3 linked regions of the Oryzias latipes genome follow. The protein of the gene in region 1 interacts with the protein of each later gene in a biochemical or structural test. Links are inferred from orthologs where the notes say so. Each region holds a gene or a part of one and is shown in the gene's direction. Other genes may lie near its edges.

Region 1 (4,374 bases):
GAAGCATGATGTTGTGACCGCACTGTTTGCATGACACGAGAGGGTATTTTAGACCCAGCTGTAGGCAGAGCTGGAGGAGTTTAGGAATGTGCAACCACAGGACCTTTTGGCCCCACGGCTGCATGTCTTCCTTCCCTCTCTGGGCCTAAAAACATGGCCTTTCACAGCCCTGAGCATCTGCTCCAGGGCCACTGTGTGACAAACCACAGCGGACAACCACCCACTCACAAGCTGGAAAATGACAACCCTCGATACAGTGGCTGCTCTCTCGAAGAACCACAGTCAAATCTGGGGAGGTTTCGTTTTGACCTCTCTTCAGAACTGTGATTGCTTCTTCCCATGTGTGTGGGCGACTGGGCAGTTGAGGACGTGTCAATTTAGTGTCAATCAGACCCAGGAACTGGAACATCAGAAGTCCTGAATCATCTAGTTTATACTGCCACCTGTTGGATGGTTGGATTCTTTACCCCTTGACAAACAGCTGTCCGTTTAGCACCAACAACAGTCTTTTTTATTATATGTAATCAAAGCTACCCAGAAAATATTCTCATCTATATTAAAAAATAAGATACAATAAACTTTTTTTACATCCTGCTGTGAAGAAATTAAATTGTTACAACTCTGGGGATCAGGCATAAGGGAGCAAAGAAAGGAAAATTTAAAATGTGCAAAAATATTTAAGGAAATAAAAAATATAAAAGAATTATACACCTCAAATACAATTAAATACAATTATAGTATACAACACACATTTCAATTGTATGCAACCATTTTAAAAATCAATATAACAAATAAAAATATTTTTTTTCCTATTCAAATACTGCAAATATACATCATTTTATTGTGTTTACAGGAATTACATTCCATTTAATGTTAGTTCATTATGACACACTTGTTTAGTAATTATGCTCATGATTTTAAAGCCTTAATTTTGTCACCTAATGTCACTAATTCTGTAAAATCCTCCCCAAATTTTTTTAAGTTGACTTAAAAGAATAATGCAATTTTCTTTTTCAATTTTATTGAAGAGTATACAACAGGAGAACAAATACACAATGTGAAATACATTAACAAGATCAAACAGTGAGGGGCTTTATTTAAATAAATACATATAAAGATTCACAAATACTGATTGTTTTAAATTTGAAAACAATCAATATTTTTGAATATTTGTAACCATTCCTGTTAGAAGAGTGTGATATTGATTTTATGTATAAAAATATATCGTTAAGAAATTGAGAAAATATGGTGCTTTATGGTGAAATTACATCTATAAATTATTAATTTTTTATATATGTATTATCTGTACTGCTGGCATAAATTAAGAAAACTAATCTACTTTCATAAACAGTAGATACGATACATTTTTCACTCAAAATAAAAACAATGTTGTGCATTTTTTTCTTTCTTTAATTTATTTACAATGGGTTTACTAAAAAAATTTAAATAAAACATTTTTACTAGTGGTATTTTATTAAAAACAACTAAACTAAAACGTAAAAAAAATAAACTCGAATCAACTTCCGCTTTTTTCATCAACTTCCGCTACCGTCAAATTAATCAACACAGCGTGACGTCACTTCTGGTCAGTTCAGGCGGGCTGCTTAAAACCAGAAGTCGCTTATTTTATTGTCGCTATACAAAACTAGTATACATTAATGTATCAACGTATGAGGAAGTGAAGTAAAGTTTTTTCCTCAGTACGTTAGGTGTTAGGCTTTTGATTTAAATCAGCTTTGCTGCAAAATTACCGGCTAGCTTAAGCTTCATGTGATCGAAGGGTAAAATAGCGGCTAAATCGCCGTTAATGTCCTTATTGATCGTTGGATAAACTAAGGGTATAATTTGTCAAAAATCCTATAAAGGGATGGACCGGCCGTCGAGGTGAGCAAGAAACATTTTCATTAGTTTATCGTTTTTTAATTACTTGTCAAATGTGAATAGAAAAGACGCTCTTAAGTTATTTCTCTACGTTTGCTTATTTGTTACAGAAAGACAAAGGTTGTGAATTATAGTGAAGCCAAGGATTTTGAGGATGGTGAGTTATTTGTGTTTTGTTCATCCAACTTTTATTTTCAAATTTTTTGTCTAATATCATATGTTCAATGATTCACAACAACAATTGTGTTGCTACTCTACGTCTTTCTCTTAATTTAAGTTTTAAGACTTAACTTCAAACTTAGCTTCTCTTCTGTGTGAAAACACCTTCCATGTTTGGTTTAGTTAGTCCAAACATTATAAAAACTAAAGATACATGTCTGCATTCGCTGATAACTATACTATAGTTATTCAAAAGATTCTGTATTTGGAAGAACTAGAGAACGATAGACATAAAGGACCCAGACGCTTAAAGCCTACTCCTTTATACCGATTCAACTTTAATTACCCAAAGTTGCATTTAGTTTTACAGCGTTTACCAGGTAACCCCTTTTGATTAGCCTGTTTCTTTGTTGTGTCAGATGAAGATTTTGCCTCCGTGAAGGCTCCACCTCACAAAAAAGCCAAGGAAGAAGTGAAACAACAACAGAGAAAGTCTTCAAGTCAGGAAGTTGTCTCTGAGTCGTCACAGAAAGAAAAGATCAGGTACACCGTTGGACATTTAGATGTTTTGGGGGATTTTATTGTCACTTATGGATCTTTGGATTATTGTGAGCCTCTCAAGTTATCTCCACCTCTTGAGTAAACATTAGTCCTAAAGACCCACTCAGATGAAAAAGGACTTTTTGGTGTTTTTTACATGTTCTTGTGGCATTTTTCTGATGATGGAGGACAAATATGAAGAAAAGTAAGCTTAAAATTTCATTTCTAAGTATTTCTTTATCTAAATTGTTGTGAATCAGGAGAAAATGATAAAATGCAGTTGTGTAAATATTTCATTTGTTGTGTAAAAAAATACGCTGGGAATTTTGGGATGAAAGTTATGGTATATCTGTGTATTACAATCTGTTTTTCAACTATGTCTGCAGCACAATGGCAAAATAAATAGCCCTCAGTGTTTTATTGTCTTGGATGTCTTTCAAGTCTACGATAAAGTCATGTTGACAATAATTTATTTTAATAAAAGATGACAATTGTATCACTTTTACCCATACAGGTCACATAGCTGAATATTCATCTATTAGTACTTTTTTTTTTTGCTTAATTTCCATATAGTTTAAACAACAAAAAAATGTGTTTTTTTGCTGCCCTTTTCTGACTTTGAGCCCCTGGCCCTCTATGATCCCGTACCTATCCCTGAGCAGCAACAAAATGGTTTGGCACCTGAGAAGTTAAAAATTATTTTAACTAATTTAGTTTTTAACCAATTAACACTTAATATTCTCAGAAAACCACTGGATGAAAAACTTTATGACAGAGACCTTGAGGCAGCCATCACACTGTCCTTGCTCAACAACACAGATGGGCTGAAGGAGTCATCTCCTAAAGGTTTGTTTTGTCTTGAAAAATGCTGAGTTGATTTGTTTTTCTCTGAGAGTGGTAACAAATTCTTTCTGGAAAAAAAAAAATTTCTCCAGCAGATGGAAAGATTCAAATCCCCATGGATGAAAATACGGATCCGACTACTTTGCGCTTTTCTAACTGCAGTGTGGATGGAGCAGTTTTGGGTAAGTATTGTTCTCCCCTCCCAAATCCCCGATCAATATGTTTTTCTTCGTCTAATCGACATTTTCTTTCAGTTTACTCATTTTTTTGTGTTTTTATTGTCGTTTGTGGGTCCCAGGCTTAGACGCAATCTCGTCAGAGATCAGATCATCCGCCTCAAAGAAGACTTCTTCTAAAACAGCTGAAGTGAAAAAATGCAAAGATGACGATGACGACTATCAACCCAAACTTACACCCGGTTAGCACTTTTTTCTTCCAAAGCTCCATAAAAAACTGTTCTCTTGGTTTTCATAAGTGTAACAGCTCTTTGCTTTTCCAGATCCAGAAAGTGATGAAGATTTCAGTGAGCCATCTGAGAGTGAGGATGAAGAATTTACAGTCAAGAAACCCACAAAGACCCAAAAGAAGGACAAAGTCTCCCCAAAAGACAGAATCAAACCAGCTCCCACTTCTAAAAAAGTCAAACAACCGTCAAAGACGAAGCCTGAAGCAGCAGGTTTGTTTCAACGGCTGACGTTTTCCATCCTCTTGATTTTTGTTACTAAGCCTTTTAAAACATTTTAGCTGCTTCCAAACCGGTGAAAAGTCCTCCAACGTCCAAACCGACACCCACCAGACCTCCTTCCACAAAGCCTGCATCCTCTCTGAGCCCAGCAGCGGGGAAAGTACCCAAGTGGAACCCACCAGGTACAGCTTATCAATGCACTTACTCTTTCTGTTATTTAAACTGCTGTAATCAGATTGAAGGCTAATATTTATATTAATACTATA
Region 2 (4,425 bases), on another chromosome or scaffold:
GCTGAAACCAAAGTGCAGTTCTTTATTTCCACAGTGTGCTGGTTTTATTGTGAAGGTGCTCCGTGGAAATGGGAGTCTTTCCATTCCAGAGGAAGGCGTTTCAGCAGATTAATAGGCAGGCATATCTGTGGACAGCTGTTTAATTCTGGGAGGACCCTTGACTCTCTCCTTTCTTTAAAAGCAGGCTCTTAATTTGTGAAAAGATCCAGAGGTTTCTTGAGTCACCGTGAAGTTGTTGATTCAAAAGCTACTTCTGGAATTTTCCTGCTTACTAATGTTTTTAACGGTTACTGAAAAGTTTTCTGAAGATGCAAACTAACCTTTGATCTGTTCTGAAGTCTGAAAAAACATAAAGCTGAGCAGATTCATTTTAGTAAAGACAGTAAATTCTGTTAACAAATTCAGGTTTTTTCTTCTTATTTACTTTTTAAATATATATTTATCTGTGTGCATTTGTTCTAACCCCAGTCTTTTTCTTTAAATCCAGGGTAAAGGATTCTGTCATGTTGATGATTAAAGCACAGAAAAAATGTTTTTAAATCTTTTATTTTTCAGATGCTGCAGCTGGAGCCAGTGGGACAGACCCGTGGTGGCCACAGTCTCCCAAAAAAGAAGATTTCTGCAAAACCCAATGAACATTAAAAGAATCCTTTTAAAAATGAATATTTCACTTTTCTTTTAAAGCCAAAAAATAAATCCTGTGTTTTAGTCTGACTTTTTTGTATTTCAGTATAAGAGTGATTCTCCTCTGAGTTGAAAACACTTCATGTGCAATTTTGTTATAATTGTAATAAATGGAAAATGAAATGTGAGGTTTATTCTTTTATTGTTTTAAGGTTACGCTTGGTTGGAAAAAAAAAATTCACTTGAATTTTGTTGCAGTTATGTACGAAAAATGTCAAATTAGTAGGTCACAGCTGTTTTAAATTTGAATTTGCATTTATTGGCCCATGACTTGGATGTTTGTTTTTGAGGAACTAGTTTAAAATCAAACGCATATTTAAGCATGCGGAGGTCATGTTTAAATCCTTTTATGGTGGGGATTTTATTTTCCTATTGAAAGTAAAATAAAGGCTTCAAATTTAAACAAGATGCCAATGATGCCTGAAAGTGCTTTTACAATTCAGTGAAATCTTTGCTCTATCAAAATAAAGGTTTATTTCAATGTTTACTGAAAACCTTATTAGTCACGGATGAATAAATGAATCTAAATACCACTTTTGAAGACTTTTTTTGTTAAAATAATCACAAAAACGTGTCTGACAGACATTTTATTTGGTAAAGACATTACTTATAAACATGAAATTGAGGGGAAAATGCGTTTAAACAGATCTTCCTAATGAGAAATTTTGGATTTTTAACGGATCCCTGTTCTTTGTAGCTTTTCACATTATGAGCAAGCCTCTTTTTTTAAGATTTAAGTATACATATTTTATGTTTTTGTGGAAAACAATTTCAAACTAATATCCATTTACGAAGCTAAAACCGAAAATGTTTAGTTCTTTATTTTTTACTTGATAAAAAAAATGTTCCTTTTCCGGTTTCCTGTTTTGTCAAGGCATGGGAACACATGTGACGTCATCGCGTTCGACAGGAATCTCGTGCGCGGGAGTTTTGTTTGTAGGATCAGCAAACAGAACAAAGCAGCAGGTATTTCATCGAAACCGTGGTCTTTAGTAGAAAAATGTCACTGCTTCTAGGGGGTTCGAACCATGACACTTGGCTCTTTGCTCTTAAACCCAGAGCAGCTTTACGGAAGATCAAACTTTTTGTACGAAATTACGCAAATTAGCGCTAAAGCTAAGTTAGCGGGCGACTTCAATTTAGCCAAAAAATGCTTTGAAAGATACAAATAAGCCTTTTGAAAATATGAACAGCTGCTGTTGTTATTGGAAAACTTTGATTTATAGGAGTCAGTTTGTAGTCGTTTGGTTAAACACTGGTTTCCCCATAAGTGTTACGTCAACTTATCAATAAAGTTTTTGAATTTGAACAACGGGGTGTAACTTCAACAGGCAATGTTAACTTTAGAAAACATTTGTCTCTTCTAATCATTTATTATAAAATGCGGATTAAAAAAAGCTTTGAACACCTGCTGAGACGCTGCAGTTAACATTTTATTTTATCAACTACAACTAAGAACTACAAATCCCTGCTGCATAACAGGCTGCAAATTGGTTTGATAATGCCACTTTATTCCCTGAATTATGTAGAGGAAAGAAAAGTAATTTAAACGTATATATTTAAAATTATTTGACTAATAAAAATTCGTTAGTATTCAGTATATTGCTTAAAAACCTCTAAAGAGGATTGATGGATAATTGCATGCTGGGAAATCATGTTTCACGTGTTTAAGTTTTAAGTTACTGTTAATATTCTTATTCTGTGCTTAGGTGTTTTGGGTCGTTTAAAACGCTCCTATTTTAGTTTAAGAAAATATCCTCAAGTCTTTTATGTTTTGAAGAAAAACTAGTATTAAATCAGTAGGATTTAGTTAAATGAAAGCATTAGACCTCCTTAAACTTTCTGTCCTGTTTTGTTTTGTATCGTGGTGTTTGCTGCTCTGACACTCCTTTTTGACTCTGTGCAGTGAGGACCCTGCCTGAGGAGAATTCAGCTTTTCATTCAAGAGTCATGGCCATGAGGAGCGAGGCTCGGGTGGAGGCAGAAGTGGCGGTGGAGGAGGAGGAGAACTTTGGGCCGCAGCCTCTTAGCAGACTGGAGGTTTGAACCCTGATAGTTCTATTGTGTCTTTTGCAGAAGCTTTGTTGTCTTAAACATTTTGGTTTCTGCTTGCAGCAGTGTGGAATCAGCTCCAGCGACATCAAGAAACTGGAGGACGCAGGCTTCCACACCATTGAGGCCGTGGCGTACGCTCCCAAGAAGGAGCTGCTCAACATCAAAGGCATCAGCGAGGCCAAAGCCGACAAGATCCTAGTGAGGAACAGCAGCTTCTGGCTTCAGGGATTCTGCTGCTCCTACCTAACGGTTCTGTTATCTCTCTCAGACTGAAGCTGCCAAGCTAGTACCGATGGGTTTCACTACAGCCACAGAGTTCCACCAGAGAAGGTCGGAGATCATCCAGATCTCCACAGGATCCAAAGAGCTGGACAAACTCCTGCAGGGTGAGTTTGCTGGAGCTCCTTCACCATCCCTGAGGATTTGAAGAATGTTGACCTTTTCCTTCCTGAGTTCAGGTGGTATTGAGACAGGCTCCATCACAGAGATGTTTGGGGAGTTTCGCACGGGGAAGACGCAGCTGTGCCACACCCTCGCTGTCACGTGTCAGGTAAGATCAGCGCGGAATGGCCAAACTTCCATCTGTCTGATCACGTGAAGCTTTCAGTCCTCTGTTCTGTTTGCAGCTGCCCATCGATCAAGGGGGAGGAGAAGGGAAAGCGATGTACATCGACACAGAGGGGACCTTCAGACCAGAGAGGCTCCTCGCTGTGGCAGAGAGGCGAGTTTCCACCGTGAGCGTCAAACTCCTCATCTTACTTTGAGAAAATGTTAAAACTCTGGGCTCTTCAGGTACGGTCTGGTGGGCAGTGACGTCCTGGACAACGTGGCGTACGCCCGCGCCTTCAACACCGACCATCAGACCCAACTGCTGTACCAAGCTTCAGCCATGATGGCAGAGTCCAGGTGAGTCCTTCACACCTTCTGCTGTCCTCCAGTCCACTTCCTGAGATCAGACAGTTTGCAGGTTTCCGAACACATTCAGTCAAAGGTCACATACCCAAGTGTTTGAGCTTTAAAGTCCGATCATCTTTTTTTAAAATCTATTTTCAAATCATTCCCAGTAATCTTTTTATCATGAATATGCTGATTTTGGCCAAACTAGCATAACTGGTTGCCTCTAGTTGAATGTTTATCCTTCTTTTACAATGCAGCAAATAGGTTCATTTGAAGAATGAGAGATAAAAAATCAATACATTTAAATATATATATATGTTTATTGACATGTTATTGAGGGAAACAGTATGTCAGGAGGGGGCGGCAATGAAATAGAGGATTATGTCATCAGCATGGAGGTGGATGGAGGAGTCAGATGTTCTTAATGTTGATAACTGATGAGATCCATCAGGATAAACCTCAGACAGAACTGCCCCCTGCTGGTGGCTCTGTTAGTGCACAGACAGCGAGGACTTTTCAGGTGCCTCACTGGTCATCATATTTGGTGGACTTTGTGAGGAAGCCGCAGAGAAAACCCACACATGCAGCCAAATGTAATATTCTACCGAAGGAGGTTGACAAATGGAACTGCTGTTAAAAAAAAAGTTGTCAGTTCATCTGTATTGTAAAAAAAGCATCAGAACATCAGCTTTAGATTACTTTAGATGGTGCGTTTGTGTCTCAGGTATGCCCTGCTGATCGTGGATAGCGCCACTGCTCTGTACAGAACCGACTACTCGGGTCGAGGAG
Region 3 (3,130 bases), on another chromosome or scaffold:
GTTGAGAGCATGGCTATTACAGAAGCTTTCGGAGGTGAGGAGACCCCCGCCTTTCTGTTTATTAATCCAAAAGTTTCCCAACAGATTATTACATGTTTAATCTATAAAAAATGAATATTGTCTTTGTTTGTCAGAGTTCCGCACAGGAAAAACCCAGCTGTCTCACACGCTTTGTGGTGAGTAAAACAGTTTCAAGCATCTTTTTTTGCACATGACATGAACATTTCTGTTTCTGCGTGAAGTCACTGCACAGCTGCCAGGGGAGAACGGCTACTCCGGAGGAAAAGTCATCTTCATCGACACAGAGAACACGTTGTATCCTTACGGCTAAAGCAACTTTATGCATGAAGTGACGCTGGTCCTGAACTCCTATCTGTGTTTTGGTGATGTTCTTGACCTGCCGTGTTTCAGTCGCCCAGACAGGCTGAGAGACATCGCCGACAGGTTCAACGTGGACCACGGTGCGGTTCTGGACAACGTGCTTTATGCTCGAGCTTATACCAGTGCGCCAGCCACACCATGGAATCAACGCACGTTCTTATGATGCAAATGAACGCTGGTCCCCGTGACGCTGTTTCTCCGCAGGCGAACACCAGATGGAGCTGCTGGACTTTGTAGCCGCCAAGTTTCATGAAGAGGGAGGCGTGTTCAAGCTGCTGGTGAGGAGACCTTCACTCCTGGACCTCCGCCGTGACCCCTGCGATCGGGGCAGAGGCTGACTCTGCTCTCCTTCAGATTATTGACTCCATCATGGCGCTGTTCAGAGTGGACTTCTCTGGCCGGGGGGAGCTGGCCGAGCGGCAGCAGAAACTGGCCCAGATGCTGTCCCGGCTGCAGAAAATCTCTGAGGGTGAGAAGCAGATCTGCGTTTGCTGAAGTGTCTCAGGGGTTAAGAGCACAGAAACGTTTTCAGTTGTTCATGAAGCTCCTTATGGTGAAGAAACGACACGGGGAGGAGCCAAACCTCAAACCGTAAAGGCACGCGAAGAATGAACAGAAATACGGAGCCCTCCAGGTGACCGTGGTTAAAAAGAAAAGAAATTCGGATAAGCGTGCGCACGCAAAGCCGACTACACTGACAAGAATTTGATATTAAGTCACCAAAAGGTTCAGAACTTCCTGGTTTTTGAAACCTATCCGGAAATAAGGCTTCACAAAATGCTCCACATCTTTTATCTTCAAACAAAGGGCCAATAAACAGACAACTTTGGTGGTTTTTCGTATTAATTTATGACTTTTTTGTTTCTTAAATTCACAAGGTTTTTTCTAGTAAAGGTATGAGATTTATTCTTGTAAATTTATAAGAATGTTTTTCGCGTAAATTTGCTAGTTTTTTCTAGTAAATCTATTAGATTTTTTACTCATAAATGTATGAGTTTTTTTCTACTAAATTTACAAGATCTTTTCTTGTAAATTTATATGATTTTCTTCTCTTGTAAATTTATGACTTAAAATCTTGTAATAAAAATTATAATAATTGTAAACTGGCCCTAAAACTCTGTTGTACTAATGAGATAGGGGTCACAGAAATGCAAAGATGGGTTAAAGTCCTGTCCTTTAACCCTTGTGCTATCCTAGGCACTTTAACATTGGGAGTTGGGTCATCTAGACCCACTAGACAGTGCTCTGAACCTTTTTTCTTCAATGATTTGTGATCTTCACTGGTGTCACTGGATTACATGAAATCTTTCCACCTTTATCCACCTTTGTCATGGTAGGGAGAACACATCAATGGAAGGGTGGGGTCATCTAAGATAGCACAAGGGTTAAAATCCTGTAGAAAAGCAAGATGATCAAGAGGAGAAAGTGTTCAGGCAGAGTAAGCAGCTGTTTGTGTTTCTAGAGTACAACGTGGCTGTGTTTGTTACCAACCAGATGACGGCAGATCCTGGAGCAGGGATGACGTAAGGATCACAAAAACCCTCATTCATCAGAAAAGGATGTTTGTTTGTTTTTTCATTTCTGACTCAGAAATGTGCTTTTATGTATCCCCCCCCCTGTTTTAGATTTCAAGCTGATCCCAAGAAGCCCATCGGGGGGCACATCCTGGCCCACGCCTCCACCACCCGCATCAGCCTGAGGAAAGGAAGAGGAGAGATGAGAATCGCTAAAATATTCGACAGGTTGTAAGCCTTTGATATTGATAATCATCACAGCTCCTAAATGAACCGGACTTACTGGACCGTTTGTCTGCAGCCCCGTCATGCCTGAAAACGAGGCGACCTTTGCCATTTCTGCTGGAGGAGTGACTGACGCCAAAGAGTGACGAAAAACGGAGGACAGACGTGTTCACGGCCGCCTGTTGGCTTACAGCTGCGGTATCGTTTCTGTTTAGTATTTATATGACAGCTTGTTGTGTTCCAGATGCACTGAATTCAACAAAAAAAGTAATTTATTGAAGTTCAATTGGGCAGAATGTCTGGTTTATTTCAAAATAAGTCACAAAAGATCGGATTGAAAAGTGAAGTTTTCCTTTCCTTAACTTATGTTACACTGGAAATAGTCATTTCTCCCTGTTTATTGATAGAAATATGAATAAATCATTTCAGCAAAAATCTACTTCTTGTGCAAATGCAATACTTTTCAGAACCAATAGAGTTTAGTAAATTAATTTGGACCTAAGCACAGAATAGGAAAAGAAAGCAAACTCATCACCAGGTTAAGTCTACAACCACAGCTGTAGATTTGTTGACCTTTGACCTCAGGAAGAGGCCGCCATCTGGAATTTTCATAAGAAATCACCTTCTACAAACTCCTTCTATGGATTAGAATCTATTACCTCCTAATTCCCCAAGCATCATTGGGACGCTGGGGCGAAAATAAATGTTGGGGAAAGAAAAGGTTTATAGGTTTTGAATGACGTTACCGTGGCGACCTCGCAAGAATGGCGTTCCTTTCTTGCTCTCACATTTTCTATCAGAATGTTATGAAAATGTAATACACGAATCTCTGCGTCGAGCCGATTTGAAACGATATAACACACGATATGAATGTATCCAAAATGTGGGCGTGGTTAACAAAAAACTTCTGTTGCCAAGGAAACCTAAAAATTTACTTTTGCCGATTCTTCCAAAAATTACACCGGCTTGTTCGTCGCCCCCAGGCGACCAAAAGACAAAATGGTTGCTAT

What was found.
Region 2: the proteins of rad51ap1 (region 1) and rad51 form a complex in vitro, tested with the Homo sapiens proteins (6 studies listed by BioGRID and IntAct). The link is inferred for Oryzias latipes from reciprocal best matches to the Homo sapiens genes RAD51AP1 and RAD51.
Region 3: the proteins of rad51ap1 (region 1) and dmc1 form a complex in vitro, tested with the Homo sapiens proteins (2 studies listed by BioGRID and IntAct). The link is inferred for Oryzias latipes from reciprocal best matches to the Homo sapiens genes RAD51AP1 and DMC1.

What each region holds. Positions count from the first base shown.
Region 1 is NC_019881.2:17,661,280-17,665,653, reverse strand, and holds the start of rad51ap1 (RAD51-associated protein 1), read left to right. Parts: upstream 1-1,554; 5' UTR 1,555-1,867; coding exon 1,868-1,884; intron 1,885-1,991; coding exon 1,992-2,038; intron 2,039-2,459; coding exon 2,460-2,583; intron 2,584-3,325; coding exon 3,326-3,426; intron 3,427-3,515; coding exon 3,516-3,605; intron 3,606-3,721; coding exon 3,722-3,841; intron 3,842-3,922; coding exon 3,923-4,099; intron 4,100-4,167; coding exon 4,168-4,290; intron 4,291-4,374. UniProt on the Homo sapiens protein: Structure-specific DNA-binding protein involved in DNA repair by promoting RAD51-mediated homologous recombination.
Region 2 is NC_019882.2:19,722,645-19,727,069, forward strand, and holds the start of rad51 (DNA repair protein RAD51 homolog 1), read left to right. Parts: upstream 1-1,579; 5' UTR 1,580-1,650; intron 1,651-1,686; exon of another isoform or gene 1,687-1,771; intron 1,772-2,590; 5' UTR 2,591-2,634; coding exon 2,635-2,724; intron 2,725-2,799; coding exon 2,800-2,937; intron 2,938-3,007; coding exon 3,008-3,125; intron 3,126-3,197; coding exon 3,198-3,289; intron 3,290-3,365; coding exon 3,366-3,460; intron 3,461-3,531; coding exon 3,532-3,645; intron 3,646-4,360; coding exon 4,361-4,425. Other genes in the region: centromere-associated protein E, read left to right, coding at 556-635.
Region 3 is NC_019877.2:2,423,914-2,427,043, forward strand, and holds the end of dmc1 (meiotic recombination protein DMC1/LIM15 homolog), read left to right. Parts: coding exon 1-34; intron 35-134; coding exon 135-176; intron 177-242; coding exon 243-315; intron 316-411; coding exon 412-503; intron 504-585; coding exon 586-659; intron 660-735; coding exon 736-850; intron 851-1,843; coding exon 1,844-1,904; intron 1,905-2,006; coding exon 2,007-2,123; intron 2,124-2,196; coding exon 2,197-2,266; 3' UTR 2,267-2,558; downstream 2,559-3,130. UniProt on the Homo sapiens protein: Participates in meiotic recombination, specifically in homologous strand assimilation, which is required for the resolution of meiotic double-strand breaks.